Linked DNA regions of Drosophila melanogaster. The gene in region 1 interacts genetically with each later gene. Each region holds a gene or a part of one and is shown in the gene's direction. Other genes may lie near its edges. The genes, in order: cas, drl and hb.

Region 1 (6,360 bases):
TTACAATATTTGCCGCTTCATGGAATCAGGATCCGATCCTCTGAACTCGTCCTGCGATAACTCCAATCAACTGAGCTGGCCAGCAACAACACTTAACAAAGGCGACTAACAAAAGTTTTCTATTTCGAAACATTTGTAACTGAATATGAAATTGTCATATGTAAATTCCAGATCCAAATGCAAAAGCATAAACGCGAAGTAAGACTGTGAATGAACCTAAATGTATGGGCTTTTGTTCGCATTTTCATGCAGATTTCCGTACTCCGTTGCCATTTTACAATGTGGCATGGAACCTTTTCTGTAATCAATAGCTCCCAACCCGCTTTATTTGCCTCTCTGCTCTGGCTGCGTTATCCATGTCACTCAATTATGGCAACAATTGGTAAATCCCAATCCCACTTCAATCCCAATTCGCCAACCAAGTGACAAACCATATCCAGGCCTGATCCTGCAGCCTGTACTCTGCTCTGCTCTCTCACCTTGCCCATTGCCGAGTAAAATGCAAATCCAAAATCAATCGTACTCCGCCCCTCGTCCTCCGGCAATCGATTCGTCGATATTCGGGGATTCCCTTCCTGATTTGCATAAGTTTCCAGATAGCGCGCGTGCGCAGTCGATCGGCGCACCCGAATCCGTAATGCGGAGCAAACCCTCCTCCCCGATGTAGTGCAGGTCCATTTGCATAACACTGGCTGGAGGAGCTGGTGATCCGGATGTCGAACTTCCTACCCGATCGCCCGCTCCGCCTCGGGACGATGTGCCAAAATTATGCAAATGTTTTACACCAATAATTTATGCAAATTACGATCCGCAAAGGATTTGGTGATCCTGCGCAGCGGATGTTACACGTAGATGTCGCCAGCTTCAAATCGAAAATGTTTTTTAGGGGTTTGCTCAAGTTCAGAATTTCTGCAAACGTTTTTTTATATGGTAATTTTTTTTTGCAATGGGTCTTAGGAAATATTTGGCATTTTTAATTGTGTTTTTTTGCACGATTGTAATGCAGATTTTTTGCTCGATTGTAATTTTAATTTGCAAATTTGGGTTTTTATTTTTTGCATTTGAATGGATTTCGATTCGATTATTTCAAAAAGGACAGGCAGCTGCTCCAGCTTGATATCCTTTTTGCAACGCGCCAATTTCTTAAAAATCATTTCGATTCCCAGTTTTGCCGAAATTTTTGTGCACACAATTTGCATAGAGATGTGAAGGAAAAGGGAACAAAGATGCGATTCTATACTTTAAACGTTCTAAGATTTGATTATATTTATGGTAATAGGCGAATAAGATTGCCGATGCCAATATTTAGTGTGAGAAAGTATTTTTGAAAATCTTTTTTGAAATCGCTTATGAAAAAAATACTGTAGACGTCGAAATATTTAAAATATTCATCTTAGAATATGTATTTTTTGATAGAATAGAAAATATATAGAGATAATAACAAAAAATTTAAAATAATTAACTATACAGTTTCTTGTGCCCAGATAACTTATTTACCCACTTTCTGCACGTAACTTTGCCGTAATTTGCCGTAATATCTTTGCAAATTGCCTGCGATTTTGGATAAAATTCCTCTGCTGATCTGTGCTCTTCTTTCATTTGCTGTCCCTTTCTAACGCACGTTGGCCATGCGGGATTCCTTCACAAATACACGCTCCTCTTTCGCATTTTTTTTTACCGAAAAACCTCTCTTTTCTAGATAAATTTACATTACCGCTGGCGTTTTATTGGTCGAGAAAAGCGAGCAAAAAAACGGAAACCAGCCGAAAACAAGCTGGGTTTTCCCAGAGCATTTTCCTGCGAAGGGTCGGTTAAAAAACTAGGGGATGAAGGTCGAACCACCACCACCAACGGACTTCTCATTTTATTCGTTTTTTAAGAGAGCGAGAGCGGCGAGATCGGTTTTTTAAGAGAACCGGTGGCGAGAGGGTTGCACTTGGGCATGGATTTGCGCAATTTTTGCTATATTAGCCGGAGGCCGCGGAAGAGTTGAAGCAGTTTGAGCCTCGCAGCCGAACTTTGAGGATCGCTGAGACGAGACGCCGTGCAAGAAAGTCGATCCAAAATCCGAAATTCGAAATCCGTGCTGTGATCTGTGCTGAATATAGTGAAGAAATCTTAAAGAATTTTCAAAAAGAAATCCCAGTGCTGTGCTGAATATATCCGCGAAAGTGTGCCACAAAAATGTCCAACCAAATGGAGTTTATTATGCAACTCTACATGATGAACTTGATGAAGCAGCAGCAGCAAATGCAGCTCCAGCTTCCGCAGCAGCAACAGCAGCAGCAGCTGGCTGGATACACTTACACACAGAACGAGGATATCTCTAGCAGCACATCCGTGCAGCAGCAACAGCAGCAGCAGCAGGAGCAACTGCAGCAGCCACAGCCAGATCTCCGCAAGACAAGAACGCACAAGCGCATTAGCTCGCAAAACACCAACTGTAGTAGTAGCCGTAGTTGTAGTCCCAATAGTAATTTGATTGCTTTTCAACCACAACAATACCCAGGCGCTACAGCGGCAACTCCTTCCACTCCCAACAGCCACCCCAGCAACCTGGTCAACCAGATGCTGCTCCAAAGCCTGCCGCCGCTGACGCAGCTCATGTTGCAGCAGCAGCAGCAGCAACATTTGCTGACCACCTCCAACCTTCTACTAACACCCACCCACACCCCCAGTTCGCTGGGCAAGCAGGATCCACTGCAGCATCCGTTGTTGCTGGGCCAGTTTGCCGGCTCCGAACAGATGGCCACAAATAACTTCCTTCAATCATCCACAGTGACCTCCACGCCCATCGAGAGAGAGAAGGCAGCCACACCAGCACCCTCCGCCGGAGCAACTGCCGGCAACCTTTCGGCGGCCCAGGTCAAGTTTGAGCAGGAGTCCGCCGACGACGATGAGGACGATGATAAGCCGCTGTCCAGCCTCACCAGCTGCAGCTCCTCGGGCCACACCAACGCCAGCTCCGAGAAGCTGCTGTTGTCGGGCGTCCATCCGCTGGAGTCAACCACCGACAGCCTAGACTCACCCAGCATGGTAAGTGATCCGGGGATCTAGAAGGATCTTAACAGTTTCTTTTATCTCGTTTTATCACCATCAATTTTAAAGATACTGTCACTTGCAGTGGCAACTACGTAGTCAAAAAGCTATATATTGCGCATTTTTGTATTAGTACATTTGATTTAAATTCTAAATTCATCCCAACAGCTTGGTTCGCCATACTTCACAAACCTTTTCCAGTTGCAAAATAGACCATTTTCCAATTTCCAATTCAGAAAGCACTATATTTGTTCCCTATTTTGCTTTGTTTTTTTTTTTTTTTGGCTATGTCCCACGCTCTGTTGCTGTAATTTGAGAAAAAACGATTCGTGATTTTTGAGATTTAAGTGTGAGAGTAGCCAGAAAGCTCGCGATTCCGGGGAAAAGAAACAGCTGTGTCGGCAACGCGTGGGTTCTCTTGGTGGCTCGATCGCTGCCCAGCTGGGCACCAGGCAGTCTGAGCTGGGGATCTCACAGATGCATCCGTGTGTTGGTATTGACTCTAAAGTTCTTCCACCCTCTTTTTCCCACTGCAGTATACGCCCGTCAAGCAGCCGGCGGACTCATCGTACGGACTCATCACACCCGTCGACAGTGATCTGACCCCCAACACACCCCTCCAACCGACCCAAACAATATCCCTGCTGACGCCGCCGTCGAGTGAGCAGAGCAAGAGCCTGGTGAGCCTCTCGGCGGCCAGCGGCCTGGATGCTCTGCTCCAGAACGAGGAGGTACTGAAGAACCTGCGGAAAGTGTCCTCCTACCTGGAGTGCGAGAACAGCCTGTGCAGGCAGGAGAACCTGCGGGAGCACTTCCATTGCCACGAGGAGCCCTGCCAGGGCAAGATCCTGAGCAAGAAGGACGACATCATCCGGCACCTGAAGTGGCACAAGAAGCGCAAGGAAAGCCTCAAGCTGGGCTTTGCCCGCTTCTCCTCCTCGGACGACTGTGCACCAGCCTACGGAGAGGGTTGCGCCTACAACTGGAAACAGACCCACTACCACTGCGTCTACGAGCACTGTCCCAAGGTGTATGTGAGCACCAGTGACGTCCAGATGCATGCCAATTTCCACCGCAAGGACTCCGAGATCGTGAACGAGGGCTTCCGGCGCTTCCGGGCGCACGAGACCTGCCGCATCGAGGATTGCCCCTTTTTCGGCAAGAAGATCTCCCACTACCACTGCTGTCGCGAGGGATGCACCCACACCTTCAAGAACAAGGCCGATATGGGTAAGTCTACTTGGAAAGCTTATTAGCTGAACTTAGTTAATATATCATATATGTATTTCTCCTTGCTTAGACAAGCACAAAACTTACCATCTGAAGGACCACCAGCTGAAGATGGACGGCTTCAAGAAGATCCTGAAGACCGAGGTATGTCCCTTCGACGCCTGCAAGTTCTCCACCGTCTGCAACCACATCCACTGCGTCCGCGAGGGCTGCGACTACATCCTGCACTCCAGCAGCCAGATGATCAGCCACAAGAGAAAGCACGATCGTCAGGACGGAGAGCAGGCGTACCAGCAGTTTAAGATCAAGCAGGACGTGGAGGAGTCCTCCCTGGATGCCATGCCCCAGCAGCAGCAGCAGCAGCAGCAGCAGCAGCCCACCAGCCTTAGTCAATCCCAGAGCAGCAGCTCTGTATGCGGCGGCAGCAACACCTCCACTCCACTCTCCTCTTTGTCCGCCGAGCACTTCCTGGCTCGGAAACGCGGCAGGCCACCCAAGAAAATCGTAAGTTTGTCTGTATATTTTGGGTAATTTTCCGCGACATTAAATAGGCATATTTTCTCAATCCACCACAGCAACTGCCAGCCGACGCTCAGCAGTCGGAAGCCAAGCGCCTGAAAGTCGAAGACGAGTCCTCTAATCCCGCCATGCTCCTGCCCCAGTCCCAGCCAGCAGCCGCTGTGCATCCGCTGACAAGTGGACTCTTTCCCGGTCTCCTGCCCGCTGCCGCCGCTCCTGGAGTGGATCCCACAGCCCCTAACTTCCAGCTCACCCACCTGATGGCCCTCTTCCAGTTGCAGAATCCCCTCTTCTACCAGAACCTCTATCCGGGAATGACCCAGAATTCCTCCATGCTCGGCAACCTGGCAGCACTTAGCGCCGCATCGGCAGCAGCGGCGGCGGCAGCGGCGGCAAATGGAGCCGGAGTCCAGCAGCCGAAGGCAGAGTTTAGCTTTAAGCCAGAGTTTAAGGAGTAGGAAGGATGCGTGTCCTTAGGGTATTTTGCCAGCTACTTAGTTTGACCGACGGACGTTGGACATTGTACATACGCGCTTTAAGCAGGTTTAGGTGGGTTTTTTTGTGGGTTCAGGCAGATCCAGGACAAGGCATCCTTCCCTCCACAAAAACCAACTCAGCCACACTTTGAGAACCTAGAAGTCCCCTATACAAAGTGTAGCTGAATTGGCTTTTGCCAAACATTTTCCCCTTTAGCTTAGATTCTCTCAGTGCCACATTAATTTTTAAAATTTTCAGCCATTTTAAATAAAAAGGAAGAACTTTCTGAATTTAAGTTTGACTAAACTGTGATGTTTTCATTAGAGTAGCCTCTTTTAATTGATAGAGCGAGTGCAGGCTATGCAGGATATGCAGGACTTAGGAGACTTGGATTGTCAATAACATAGCGTCTAAGCATTACATTGTATGTGATATACTAATAAATAATGGCTAATTGTTTTTGCTTTATAATTTAAGGGAATAATATTATAATTCTAATTATAAACTTTAGTAAAATCAGCATTCTTCTATAATAAATAAGTCAACATTACCTGAATAAATTTTATTATGCCTCAGAGCTTATTATTTAAACACAAAATGCTTGAGTTATTGGGGGTTACTGGAAAATACAATATATAAAGTAACTAACATATATGTATACCCAACCACACATAAAACACTTAAACATTTGATTAAATAATTTATGACTTTATTTTGTTTTCATGTAATTGTTGGTTTTACTCATATGCTAACAGAAATCAGCTACACAAACTCAGGACGCCTGATAAAAACCGTCCCGCTAAGCAATATTTAAGTACTTTACACAAAATCAATTATTTTTTCCTTTGCTTGTATTTTTGTATTTTTTATAGTTCATAATCGCATATATGTATATGTAAACAATCAATACAATCCAAATACCATAATCATAAGCATAACAAAAGAGATTTCAGAAAGTTGTATCCTAGTCAAGAACAATGTACAAGCAAGTATCATCATTTTATACATTAGGTATTTGCTTTTAGTTTACATTGCAAAGTGAAACCCTGCGTGAAATGTACAAATAAAGGTAAACTAAAAATAACATTAAGAACT
Region 2 (5,099 bases), on another chromosome or scaffold:
CAGTATCTGCGCGAGCTGAGCGTTCACCTGGTGAAGCACACGTCAAAGCCCAACACTGGCTTCCGCTGGCTGAAGGAGACCTTTTTCGAGCGCTCCCAGGCTCCAGCTCATGTGCATGCGGTGGCCTCCCAGTTCGTTTCCGCGCAGCTTGAACTCTCGCGGGCTCTTTGCTCTCTGGTTTGTCGTGCTGCAGGCCTAGATGCGCGCATGGAGACCTCGAGGGGTTTTCAGTTGATGTGAGTTGGTGATGATTTCAAATGTGATCACTTTTCACTCACGTCTGTAATGATTGCAGTGACCAAATGGCTGCCAATCAACAGCACTCTCTGTTTCTAATCCTCGAGCGCTATTGCCTGGCTGTGGAATCGATTGCGTTTCCCCTGCCCGAGGGTTTCTCCTCGTTCTTCACCTACTTGGGCTATCGTGCGCTGGGCTATGATATGTTTCTGCAGTATGTGGAAAATCATGTGTTCGAACTGCAAGTGGATGTGATGAAGGCCATTGTTTTCGGTTTGTAACAAATATATATACTTGTTTTCATATACTGTTCATTTCATTATTGCTTAATGTATTCCTTCAGATATTGAAGATTCTCCACTGGGCATTGAGCGGAAGCTATCACTTTTGTCTGCTCTGCCCAAGCAGCGTGCTCAAAGGTTACTCAAATGCTGGCAGCATCCGGACAGCCTTATGATCCGCGGACGCGAGCATGCGGCCAACATTCTGTCGGGTCAGCAGCAGGAGGTGTTGCACCAGCAGCGACCCACGGCCTGCGTGAATCAATCGCGAAATAATGCGCGGAGCGGTAAGATCTTGCTTGGTTAGCCCGCCATAAACACGTTAACTTTTCATTTGTACACTCTTCACCCGAACACATCTCGTCCAGCTTTGGGCAAGCCCAACACTGTTGTTTGTCACTCGCTGCTTTTGGTTTTTCTGCTTTTCATTCTAACCACGGTCGTCCTGAGCATATCGAGCTATGCGTTCAGGCAGCGCCCTCTCATCTGGTAGAAAACATTCCCATCGCTGACCGGTAAGAAACGCTGTTCAGTGTTCGCCAGTCGTTGTCCCATTTGCACATTTTGTTTCTTGTTATCTAACTTAACCATAGCCACCTCTCTAATGACCAATTTGGTTGGTATTCTTGCAGATCTAACTGCCGAAGCCCTTTCGCCACTGGACTCCTTTCTGGACCTGCTGACTGCGAAGGCCAGTCTAAACGAATTGGACTACAATCTGCTTATTGAAACTACTCTAAGCTCCATCGATCAGCTGAAACTGGAGGCTTGAATTTAATGTTAAGAGTAACTAATGAAGTATTGTGTCAAATTATCAAGTACTTAGCCAAGGCCAGTTTGCAAATATTCCAAAGATTTGATTTGTCAAATGTATTAGTTAAGATTCTTCTCGTGCAGCTTTGATTTTTGTTAGGGTTCTTCTGTGTGCTTTTAGTATTAATTTTCTGTTCCTATTATTTGTGTAACGACTGATACACATTCCAAGTCTGTAATTATAAATTATTTATGTTGTTAATTGATGTACCTAAAATCATGTACGTATTTATATATTCTGTACTTATTTATTTTATGCTTCTGCAAGCTTCTGTCTCTCTTTCTGTAATAAACTAACGATTTATAAAGTATAAAATGTCGTAATGTTTATTTTTGGCAACATGAGTTTAATTCGAAATTGAATCAAACACAATAAAAAAAAGTTAAAAGGTTAAAATCATTATATTACATCATTAATTCGAATTCATTTGGGAAGTTTGTGGGTCTATTTTTTAAACTTTATATGAATGTTTGTTTAGTTAATTTAATAAAGGATATCGAACAGTATGCCAGTTTTGGTATTTAGCCAATTGGAGATGTTCGATGAGATGTTCGAACTGCAACCGAGTTCGAGGTTCCAACACGACTGTTATACGGGTTCCAGCCTTCAAGTTCTACAGAACAAGTCCACGAGCGCCACACACAGTCCACAGTCCACACTCCACTCCGCTCGGCGTGGAAGCCATTCGCTTCGTGGCGAAGTGTTTGTTTATCCAGTTGACAGTTTGTGGAAAATCGTCACGGTGAGCGGATCAAACGCGGAAAACGAACGCGGACGAACGGCGAGAAAAGCGAGGAAAAACGGGTGCAGAGACAGAGACTGATTGGGAAATATGTGCGCCTGAGTTTTCCCGGCCAGAAGGCAAAGTGCCAAATGCTCTGACAAATAATTCCTGTAATAATCAGCGCGATTGAAATCAACGCGACGCTCGTAAAATTGCAAATGCAGCGCAAAAAGTGAACAGCAGTGCAGCGGAAATTAAATCGTTTTAGCGAGTGCCAAACGGGAAATAGAAAATCGGCAGAGTAGCCGAACTGCAGTTAAAACTATCTCTTCCTCTTATTGCGACTAAACAACCGGCGGATTAATCGAATCCGAAAGATGGCCCCCAACTTGCTAACAATCGGATTACTTTTGACCCTGATCGCCAGCGGTCAGGCCCATCTCAATATTTTCCTCAACTTGCACGAGGTGCTGCGCCTAATCGGTAAGTAATCGTGTTGATTTTCGCCTGCCTTTTGGCTTTTCAATTAACTGGGCAATTATTTGCCACTTTGTGTGCGTTCGTTCGACTTTAAATCAAATTTGATTTATGCCAAGCCGGGATTTTGTCTCCTGGGCAAACGAATGCGACTTGCTGGGATTATTTACTCTTTTTGCGTAAATAATATATGCCTTTTAATTGTTTCTAGCCTCGGAGCTACATATAAAGTAGTATTGTCCCTCCTTCAATTGGCCAGCTCACCGAGAAACAAGAAAACATTCTATTTGTCTAGCATGATTTCCTGTTTCTTTGATTTAATTGTTCGTTAGACTTATCTAGATAAATAGAAATGCTAAAGCGATTTAAATTTGTATTTCTTTGCGTTAAATTAAATTCGATTGGCAAGTGGATTCATCTCTAGATAAGTAATCCCTCTATAATCAAAGTTTTTATTTAAAAAATCATATTTTTTCATAGTTTATCCAATTTAAAACAATACAAAACAATTTTAGATATATTTTATAAACGTCTTCAAAAGAAAATAAATAGTAAAATCATGTAGTCAAAAAATGACACCAAAATGAGTATTTAAATATTTAGTTTAGTTTAGTTTATATTATTTATTTAGCCTAACTATTTTCCATAGAAGAATACTACTCTAATAAGCTTAAAAATCCGAGTGACTGATTCTTAGCCCTTATCAAAACAGATTTGTTTATCTCCATCTAATAACCAGGTTTCCACTTGGCCAAGCAAATCGGCTTGGGATAGCTCGAGTCCGCAGCCCAAGTACCTTTAATCTACTTTTATATTTATACCTCGCCCCGATCCCCATCCCCAACCTCGTCTTCTTGGACCCAAGCCATTCCCCGCCAGAAAGAAACACACACAAATCCTGTCGAAGAGATTGCCAAGCTAATAAAAGTGGGGAAAATTGTTTTACAATGTGTCACAGGGCCCAGACAAAGAATTTACAACCCAGTGAATATAAAAAATAAATCAGTAGCCTCAATCCATGGGCCAAAAGGAAAGGGTGAAGCGGCCCAAGTTGTGCCACATCCATGTGGCATCATAAAACACATGCAAAGTGTTTGTTTTGTAGGCAGTGTGTTCTGTGGATCGGGGGCGCAGGGAGCTGTATAGCTGATAGGGAAAAATTATCAAAAATTATGTTGTAAAATTTACAACACTCGCGTGTTTGTGCCTCCGGCTGATTGATGGGCGTCAGGAGTTTCGGAGTGCGGAGTGCGGAGTATGTAGGTACGCAGATTGCATCGCGTCACTTGTGAATAACTGGGTAAATATTTGAACTGCAGTGCCGGGCTGCTAATCAGGCGCTTATCTAGCCGCTTATCAGCGTCTGCCACTCGTCGTAATTCATGTTTGATTGCAGTTCTGGCCCCCGAGTCCTGGCTGCTCCACTACACACCTCGCAATCAGTTGAAAGCGCCAGCAGACAATCAATCAAAGGCGATACGGCAAGTGGGTGGGATGGTTTGCTATGGGATGGATGGCCAGTTGAGGCTTTCCACTTGACATGGCAGCGGAAAATTTATTAGTTGTGTCAGCCGAGTGTCAAACGAAATCAGCATTAAAACCCATTAAGCGGTGGCCGCTATTCATTTTTCGCCCGATTCCCGACTCCTCCAATTGCACTTTCCCCAGAGGGTTTTTGGTTTTTGGTTTTGGGCTTTCGGGATTGGGTGGCGATACCCTCTCCAATTATTCAGCGCTGACAGCGGGTTGCATGCCTGACCTACTTTCCGAGACTTCACTGTGTGTGTGTTCGCAACGCCTGGCTAGGTGTCACTCTATTTTATTTTATTTCACTTTATTTTTTTAGCGGTCGCTTCAAAAGCCTTTGTGTGAGTGCACATCAATTAAATTGTCAACCCAGGAGCAGAGTGAAGGAGAATCGCCCAAAGAAGAGCTCCATGCACTTGCATGCAGCTGCGGCATGGCATTCACTGTTCGTTAGGCTAACATCCATACCCGAACACATACCCATAGCACACATGTTCCATCCCATGGCCCACCCACTTCTCCATCCAGAAGTGCGCCCCAAATTGCTGTGCTCTATGCTATGCAAACCATGTCAGGTGTGGATCAAGCCGGGCGGCGGTGGCGAGGGTCTTCTTGGTTCGGTGGCTCTGTGGCCCAGCTCGTTAGCGAAATGAGCGGATATGTAAAGTCGGTGCAGTTGATGGATTTTGCGGTTGCAATGAGTGACCAAAGTTGTCGGCGTTGGGTGTGGATAGTCAAGGGTAACACGTTATCTAAAGGGAACTACCATTATTCCATCTTAGGACACTGATCTCCCAGGCTTTGTGGCACCCCACTGTTAATGGCAAGGAAAGCAATTAAATTCATATAGCCAGAACCTATAACATCCTATAACATTCGGAAAACTTTTCCCCCGCCACACACTTGGCTCAATGGGGCTTTTAACTTTGCCCAACTTTGTAGCCCTGCCAGCTGTCTGAGCAGATCCCTCCCTAATCCATGTAACCCATGGATGTTGCCAGTCACGTTTCGGGTCTGTCTATCAACACTTGCTAATCTC
Region 3 (7,775 bases), 3.0 Mb from region 1:
GATCCACACAGCACCCGCCCGCCTAAGCAACGCTAATCGGGCTGATCAGCGAACGCTAATCGCTCGGGACTAACTGGATCCTCCGGATCAGCGGCGCTGATCCTGCGTGATCCTGCGTACTGCGTAATGTTGGATTATGTCCTGTGCAGAAGTACGGCCAACTTTTAAATCGCTTTTAAATCCACATCACTCTAGTTCCAGTCGCACTTCTTCGGATGCGCGGATTAATGAACTGGGCGGGCCGATCAGGTAGCTTTGCGTCCTTTAATCCTTTCTTCGCTAAGTCCGGTTGCAGTTCGTATTCGTAATCCGGTTTGCCATGTCAACGTCAATGGCAGGTCTACCTCCGGTACTACCTGTTCCCGAGACGTCCTTTTGACACATATATTCCTCTGGATATGTGAGAGCAACTTGTATAATTTGCATTCCGGCGGCGATTTGTTTGCTCTGTTGTTTTGTAAATATTGCTTTTACATTTTCCCCACCCCCTCTGCCAACGCCCTAATTTCTCCCCGTTCCACTTTAGTTTTAGCCAAAATATTCGACATAAACAGGAGATTTTAGCCCAAATATTCCACATAAACAGGAGATTGAATAAAATAGCTGGAGGCACATTAATTCCGAACTTAATTATGAATTTGCATGTATGTTTTCTTTAGAAAAACTCTGATCCATACAAATAATAAGTTATCCTTTTGTATTGTATAGAGAAAAAAAGGTTTTTACCAATGAACTATGAATAATGAATAATAATAATAGTTTTTTTTTTTAGTCCAAAATTTGTCATTAAACCTAGTTAGAACAATCGCTCCTAATTTATCATTCTAAAAGCGAACATTCCGCTTGGGAAAAAAATTGGTCTAAACCGAATGATACTATTAATGATATGCATTTATTGCTAACCATAATCCTTGTCAAGCTAACAATGATACATTTTCCGAAATTAGCTTAAAAAGGTGGAATACACCCAATATGCACAAACTACCTTAAGGAGATTTGGAATTTCGAATGCTAATTGTGGCAAAGCTTTGCCCAAATTAAGTTAACACGCACAGCAACAGGAAAATGTGTTAAAGCAACAAGGAATCTCCTCGGCCCAAACTTCCATCGTCCCAATTGCAGTTGGCTAAGTTGTTAATGTGTCTGGGCTTAAAGTTGCCCAAAAAACAATTGGCGAAGGCCCCCCATCTTCCTCCATTTCCGCTCTCTCACTTTTGGGCCAGAAATCAATAATCAATAGTGAAGCGGAGATGCCAAAAAACGGCAAAGAGCCAAAAAGGCAGCTGCATTCGGCCAAAATGCAGCGCCAGAAAATGCAAAAGGATAAAATGAGCGAGTCAGAGCGAGAGAGTGGGTGAGTGAGTGAAAGAGCGAACGCCACGAAGGGGATGCTGTTTAGTTATTGCTTTTGGGGATGGGGAAAGTCACTCAGATTTACAGCTAGCATCCGTATCCGTTTTGAGTGAGTTTCGTCGTTACGTTGTTGATGCTCTCCGGCTGCTCTCTCATTTCGATTTCTGCTTCTCCGTGTAACGGCTCTCGTGCGCCTTTGTGTTGTTGCACTTCTGGCATTTGTTTTTGCTTTGCAATTGAGATTTTAGATTTGAGTTCTTTTTTGGCGAGTGCACTGTTGTGAGGAGCAGTGAGGAGATTTTCAGCTATTAGAAGAGCCCGCTGAGCGTGAGTTTGGTCAGTTGTGCTCCGAGTCCCGAAAACGAAAGTCGCCAGCATTGACAGGCAGCCACTGAAATACAAAAATAACCAAACATCCAAAGGACGAAACGTAACTGCTATCAAAACAAATATTGCCATTAAATACAATTAAACTTCGTGCTTGTGCTAAAAGATAACCAATTGCAAAAAGACTTTTGTCCCGAAAACTTATTTTTTGGCAAAGACCACATCCCGCACATGCGCGAATTCCGCGAAAAAGAAAGCACAAAAGCAAGCTAAAAAGCGAGGCCCAAAAAATAGACAAAAACGAAGAGCAAGGAGCCCCCACATCGCCGCTCCCCCTCGCACGCACTGTGCGTGTTGGTCTAACGGTAACCGTGCCGCGGTCAAGCGAGAGAGTGGGAAAGAGAGAGTCCGCGAGCGAAAAGCGAAAACTTACGTGCTCCTGCTCCTGCTCCCGGTTCCCGTTTCCAAATTCTCCCGCAGAATTGCACTTGGACTGTCCGCAAGGTAAGTAACTGGGCGTACCATCCAATATCCTAGTTATACACTGCATTCGACCTCCAATAAATCGTAAAAAACACATGGAGGTAGAAATTCGCAAAAGCTTTCCGCGGATAAACAAATAAACAAGAATTACAAATCGCTTTTGCGGGAGCAAATGCCAAAATGTTGGGGTATCCAGAATATACACAGTTTTTGTGAGGATTTACATACGCCCTGTAAATTTTAATTTAGTTCTCAATTGATACGAAATCTGTTTTTTTTTATAGAATATATTCGATATATAGTTGTTTAATTATAATTCATCATGTGATATACTTTCAAAAGAAACAGATTTAAATAGTTCGTTTATATGCTATTATGCACTATGCTTAATGTATTTTACTTTATTAATTCATGCTAATCTGATGACTGATAACCAATTTGCTTATTCTATGTCATAATCACCTTTAATCCCAAGTACTCAACTTTCTTCTAGTTCTGCACATTTTCTTGTTCTCTTCTTGTTGTTTGTAATCGAGTGCTTCTTTTTCTGTCTAACCTTAGGAACACAAACAAGAGATCTCACACACATGCACACACACAACCACACAGAGTGGTAAATCATTGCTAAAAATGCAAATGGCAAAAATTCTAAAACAATATTTTAAAATCTGTCTGGCTTTTGGCCGATCTTCGGGTGAACTTGTTTTTTGCCCGCTCTGTCTGTTTTTGCCTAGAACTGCAGCGTATATCCAACCCCCAACCGACCCCCCCCCCTCCTCATTTGCTCCTCCTAAGCAACGCCCCTGGCCACGCCCCCCTCTACGCCTGACAGCTAATTTTATTTGTTTACATGTCGACTTTCATGTTGTTTTTTTTTCGCCTTCCTGCCCCCCAAATAACCCCTTCAATTTTTAGCATTTCTTTTCGCTCTTCTTTCGGCAAATGCATTTTCGACTTTTCTTTTTTAATAATTTAAATTTAGACATCGAACTATAATTCAAAGTCAACGTGGCAATTTTTTAATGGCAAATAGTTCGGCACTTGCCAAAATGCATTTCAAATATAATGAATACACCTATGTGACGCTCGCAGGCTTTGTTTTTTTTTTTTGTTTAGGATGATGATGGGAATCATTATTGCACGATCTTTTGCAGAATTGATTGTCATCCGACAGTTTTAATGTTTGCCGACAAAAAGAACTGAGCGCATTTCAAACAAATGGGGCTTTGTTAGGCGCATAAAAATAAATATGCACATATTATACGGGATATATTTATAAACCGCAAATGACATTGAATCACTTCAGTCAGCAGCAGCAGTGCAGTTTTCCCTAAACGAATGCAGCTCCAAAAAACAACAAGTTGTTCTAAGCCAACAACATAACGGTTGCAACTACACATATGTATACGCATACATACATATATTTTATATACGCCTGCAAACAAGCAGGCATATCCTGCTCTTGGCTTGCTTTTTGTACGGATTTTTCAACAAAAACATTTTTTGTGTGGCGCATTTTCTGCGTTTTCGAATTTTTCCATTTTTGCCATTTTCATGATATTTTTAGAGGGTTAAAAAGGGGGCGGTGTTGGGGTGGGGGGGGAGGCACCAAAAACGACTAGCACATGTTTAGTTTACTTTTGCAGTTTCGGTTGCCTGGCTGCACTCGTTGTGGCCACACCACGCCACTAACCCCCACTGCATGGTCCCCATGCCCCCACCCCTGCCCCCTTGGCCCATGCCCCTGCCCGGCGTAATATTAATTTTACACTTGGCCTTTAGTTTGGCTTTGTTGCTGTTGTTGGGCATGGCACAAAAAAGCCCAGACGAAAGGCGAAAATTCTCTTTGTTTCATAGTGCGCACACACACTAACACACTTGCCGAGCAATTAATTTTGGCTTTCTTTAAAAATATCCACAAAAGCGAATTTAAATAAATATGCTAAGCTTCATTTTGTGTGGTGCACTTTCTGTTTCCTGAACCATCAATTATGCCTAAGTATTGTAGATATTTTAGCTGCCAGATAGCACAGCACCATCCTCCCATAATAATATTCCGTAAATGCCCCTTTTTCCCGTTTTGCGTTTTTAATAATATTTACTTGAAAGCACAAACAATTAGCCAAAAATGCAGCAACTGCACAATTTTTCAGTGTGAAATTGGAAATGGAAAAAATATAGGCAACAAGCAATTTTAATGCGAGAATTATTAGAAAAACTACGCAAATCAAAGTGAAATGTCTGGCGGAAAATTGTTGTCAGGAAAATGTTTTTCAAATGGGTGTGTAATAATTATACTGCACATATTATGCATATAGTTTAGTTGGTCCTTAGAGTTTTCCCGCAGGTGTAAGCAGTTCTGATCCGTTAATTTAGTTAAGTCCCGCAATCCTTTTTACTTTTTATTATTAACTACGAAACTGCCCACGCTAGCTGCCTACTCCTGCTGTCGACTCCTGACCAACGTAATCCCCATAGAAAACCGGTGGAAAATTCGCAGCTCGCTGCTAAGCTGGCCATCCGCTAAGCTCCCGGATCATCCAAATCCAAGTGCGCATAATTTTTTGTTTCTGCTCTAATCCAGAATGGATCAAGAGCGCAATCCTCAATCCGCGATCCGTGATCCTCGATTCCCGACCGATCCGCGACCTGTACCTGACTTCCCGTCACCTCTGCCCATCTAATCCCTTGACGCGTGCATCCGTCTACCTGAGCGATATATAAACTAATGCCTGTTGCAATTGTTCAGTCAGTCACGAGTTTGTTACCACTGCGACAACACAACAGAAGCAGCACCAATAATATACTTGCAAATCCTTACGAAAATCCCGACAAATTTGGAATATACTTCGATACAATCGCAATCATACGCACTGAGCGGCCACGAAACGGTAGGATATTGTTAGCCATTACCAAGTGTCTCCATTTTGAACACAAAATCACTCAAATCGCCTTCAGGGGGTGGGTGCCGCCCAGCCACCCCTGACGTATTTTTTGTTAGGGGTGGTGCCGCAAGCACACCAAAAAAAGAGAAAAAAAAAATAAAAGCGAGGAAAAATAAAATGAAAAACAAGCGGAAAAAAAGAGGAAAAAACTCGACGCAGGCGCAGTGCATGAATGAATAAATGAATATGCCCACTAACCCCACTCTCTCTGTTTTCTTATCCATTACAGCCGTCTAGAGCCGCCAAGATGCAGAACTGGGAGACGACAGCCACGACCAACTACGAGCAGCACAACGCCTGGTACAACAGCATGTTCGCGGCAAATATCAAACAGGAGCCAGGTCATCATCTCGACGGGAATAGCGTGGCCAGCAGTCCGCGCCAATCGCCCATTCCCTCGACCAATCACCTGGAACAGTTCCTCAAGCAGCAGCAGCAGCAGCTTCAGCAGCAACCCATGGATACCCTGTGCGCCATGACCCCATCACCCAGCCAAAACGATCAAAACAGCCTGCAGCATTACGATGCTAACTTGCAGCAACAGTTGCTGCAGCAACAGCAGTACCAGCAGCATTTCCAGGCAGCCCAGCAGCAACATCATCACCATCACCATCTGATGGGTGGATTCAATCCGCTGACGCCACCTGGTCTGCCCAATCCCATGCAGCACTTCTATGGCGGCAATCTGCGACCCAGTCCGCAGCCCACGCCCACATCTGCCTCCACAATTGCGCCCGTTGCAGTTGCCACTGGCAGCAGCGAGAAGTTGCAGGCACTAACACCACCCATGGATGTCACACCGCCTAAGTCGCCGGCCAAGTCGAGTCAGTCGAATATTGAGCCGGAGAAGGAGCACGATCAGATGTCGAACTCCAGCGAGGACATGAAGTACATGGCCGAGTCCGAGGACGATGATACCAACATCCGGATGCCCATCTACAATTCGCACGGCAAGATGAAGAACTACAAGTGCAAGACCTGCGGCGTGGTGGCCATCACCAAGGTGGACTTCTGGGCGCACACCCGCACCCACATGAAACCAGACAAGATCCTGCAGTGCCCGAAGTGCCCGTTCGTCACCGAGTTCAAGCACCACTTGGAGTACCATATCCGGAAGCACAAGAACCAAAAGCCCTTCCAGTGCGACAAATGCAGCTACACGTGTGTCAACAAATCCATGCTAAACTCGCACCGCAAGTCGCACAGTTCTGTGTATCAGTACCGTTGTGCGGATTGTGATTACGCCACCAAGTATTGCCACAGCTTCAAGCTGCATCTGCGCAAGTATGGTCACAAGCCCGGCATGGTTTTGGACGAGGATGGCACCCCGAATCCCTCGTTGGTCATCGATGTTTACGGCACGCGTCGTGGTCCGAAGAGCAAGAATGGTGGACCGATTGCCAGTGGAGGAAGTGGCAGCGGCAGCCGGAAGTCAAATGTTGCAGCTGTCGCTCCGCAGCAACAGCAATCTCAGCCAGCTCAGCCAGTCGCCACATCTCAGCTGAGTGCCGCCCTGCAAGGATTCCCTCTGGTTCAAGGCAACTCCGCTCCTCCGGCGGCATCTCCAGTGCTCCCGCTGCCCGCCTCTCCTGCCAAGAGTGTGGCCAGTGTGGAACAGACGCCCAGCTTGCCCAGTCCAGCCAATCTTCTGCCTCCTCTGGCCAGCCTTCTGCAGCAGAACCGCAACATGGCCTTCTTCCCCTACTGGAACCTCAATCTCCAGATGCTGGCCGCCCAACAACAGGCCGCTGTCTTGGCCCAATTGTCGCCAAGAATGCGAGAGCAACTGCAGCAACAGAACCAGCAGCAGAGCGACAATGAGGAGGAGGAGCAGGACGATGAGTACGAGCGTAAGTCAGTGGACTCTGCCATGGATCTGTCCCAAGGAACGCCAGTGAAGGAGGATGAGCAGCAGCAACAACCGCAGCAGCCGCTGGCCATGAATCTCAAGGTGGAGGAGGAGGCCACGCCTCTGATGAGCAGCTCGAATGCCTCGAGACGCAAGGGACGCGTCCTCAAGCTGGACACCCTGTTACAACTGCGATCGGAGGCCATGACATCTCCCGAGCAACTGAAAGTACCCAGCACACCCATGCCAACTGCATCCTCGCCCATTGCCGGACGCAAACCCATGCCCGAGGAGCACTGCTCGGGCACCAGTTCGGCAGATGAGTCGATGGAGACGGCCCATGTGCCGCAGGCCAATACCAGTGCCAGTTCGACGGCGTCCAGCTCGGGGAACAGCTCCAATGCCAGCAGCAATAGCAACGGCAACAGCAGCAGCAATTCCAGCAGCAATGGAACCACCTCAGCGGTTGCAGCTCCTCCATCCGGAACTCCGGCGGCGGCGGGTGCCATCTACGAGTGCAAGTACTGTGATATCTTCTTCAAGGACGCCGTGCTCTACACCATTCACATGGGCTACCACAGCTGCGACGATGTGTTCAAGTGCAACATGTGCGGCGAGAAGTGCGACGGACCCGTCGGCCTCTTCGTTCACATGGCCAGGAATGCTCACTCCTAAGTTCCCCATCACCATCACCTTGTTATTATTATTTATCACTATTATCATATAATCGTTGTCCAGAATTGTATATATTCGTAGCATAAGTTTTCCAAACATTATTTTGTTGTCGAAAATTGTACATAAGCCAATTAAGCCGCTAA

What was found.
Region 2: of cas (region 1) and drl, changing one enhances a phenotype caused by changing the other (phenotypic enhancement), as found in Drosophila melanogaster (one study listed by BioGRID).
Region 3: of cas (region 1) and hb, changing one suppresses a phenotype caused by changing the other (phenotypic suppression), as found in Drosophila melanogaster (one study listed by BioGRID).

The regions. Positions count from the first base shown.
Region 1 is NT_033777.3:5,712,437-5,718,796, reverse strand, and holds cas (castor), read left to right. Parts: upstream 1-1,991; 5' UTR 1,992-2,184; coding exon 2,185-3,036; intron 3,037-3,575; coding exon 3,576-4,269; intron 4,270-4,339; coding exon 4,340-4,773; intron 4,774-4,844; coding exon 4,845-5,246; 3' UTR 5,247-5,822; downstream 5,823-6,360. UniProt on the Drosophila melanogaster protein: Transcription factor that specifies expression of key genes in developing central nervous system (CNS). Essential for many, if not all, late developing neuroblastoma (NB) sublineages.
Region 2 is NT_033779.5:19,188,296-19,193,394, forward strand, and holds the start of drl (derailed), read left to right. Parts: upstream 1-2,046; 5' UTR 2,047-2,433; coding exon 2,434-2,539; intron 2,540-5,099. Other genes in the region: pigeon, read left to right, coding at 4-236, 296-510, 581-805, 1,151-1,290. UniProt on the Drosophila melanogaster protein: Probable coreceptor of Wnt proteins. Involved in neuronal pathway recognition and ventral muscle attachment site selection. Non-vital for development. May be part of a signal transduction cascade involved in learning and possibly memory.
Region 3 is NT_033777.3:8,691,735-8,699,509, reverse strand, and holds the start of hb (hunchback), read left to right. Parts: upstream 1-1,687; 5' UTR 1,688-2,184; intron 2,185-4,909; exon of another isoform or gene 4,910-5,054; intron 5,055-5,337; 5' UTR 5,338-5,355; coding exon 5,356-7,632; 3' UTR 7,633-7,775. UniProt on the Drosophila melanogaster protein: Gap class segmentation protein that controls development of head structures.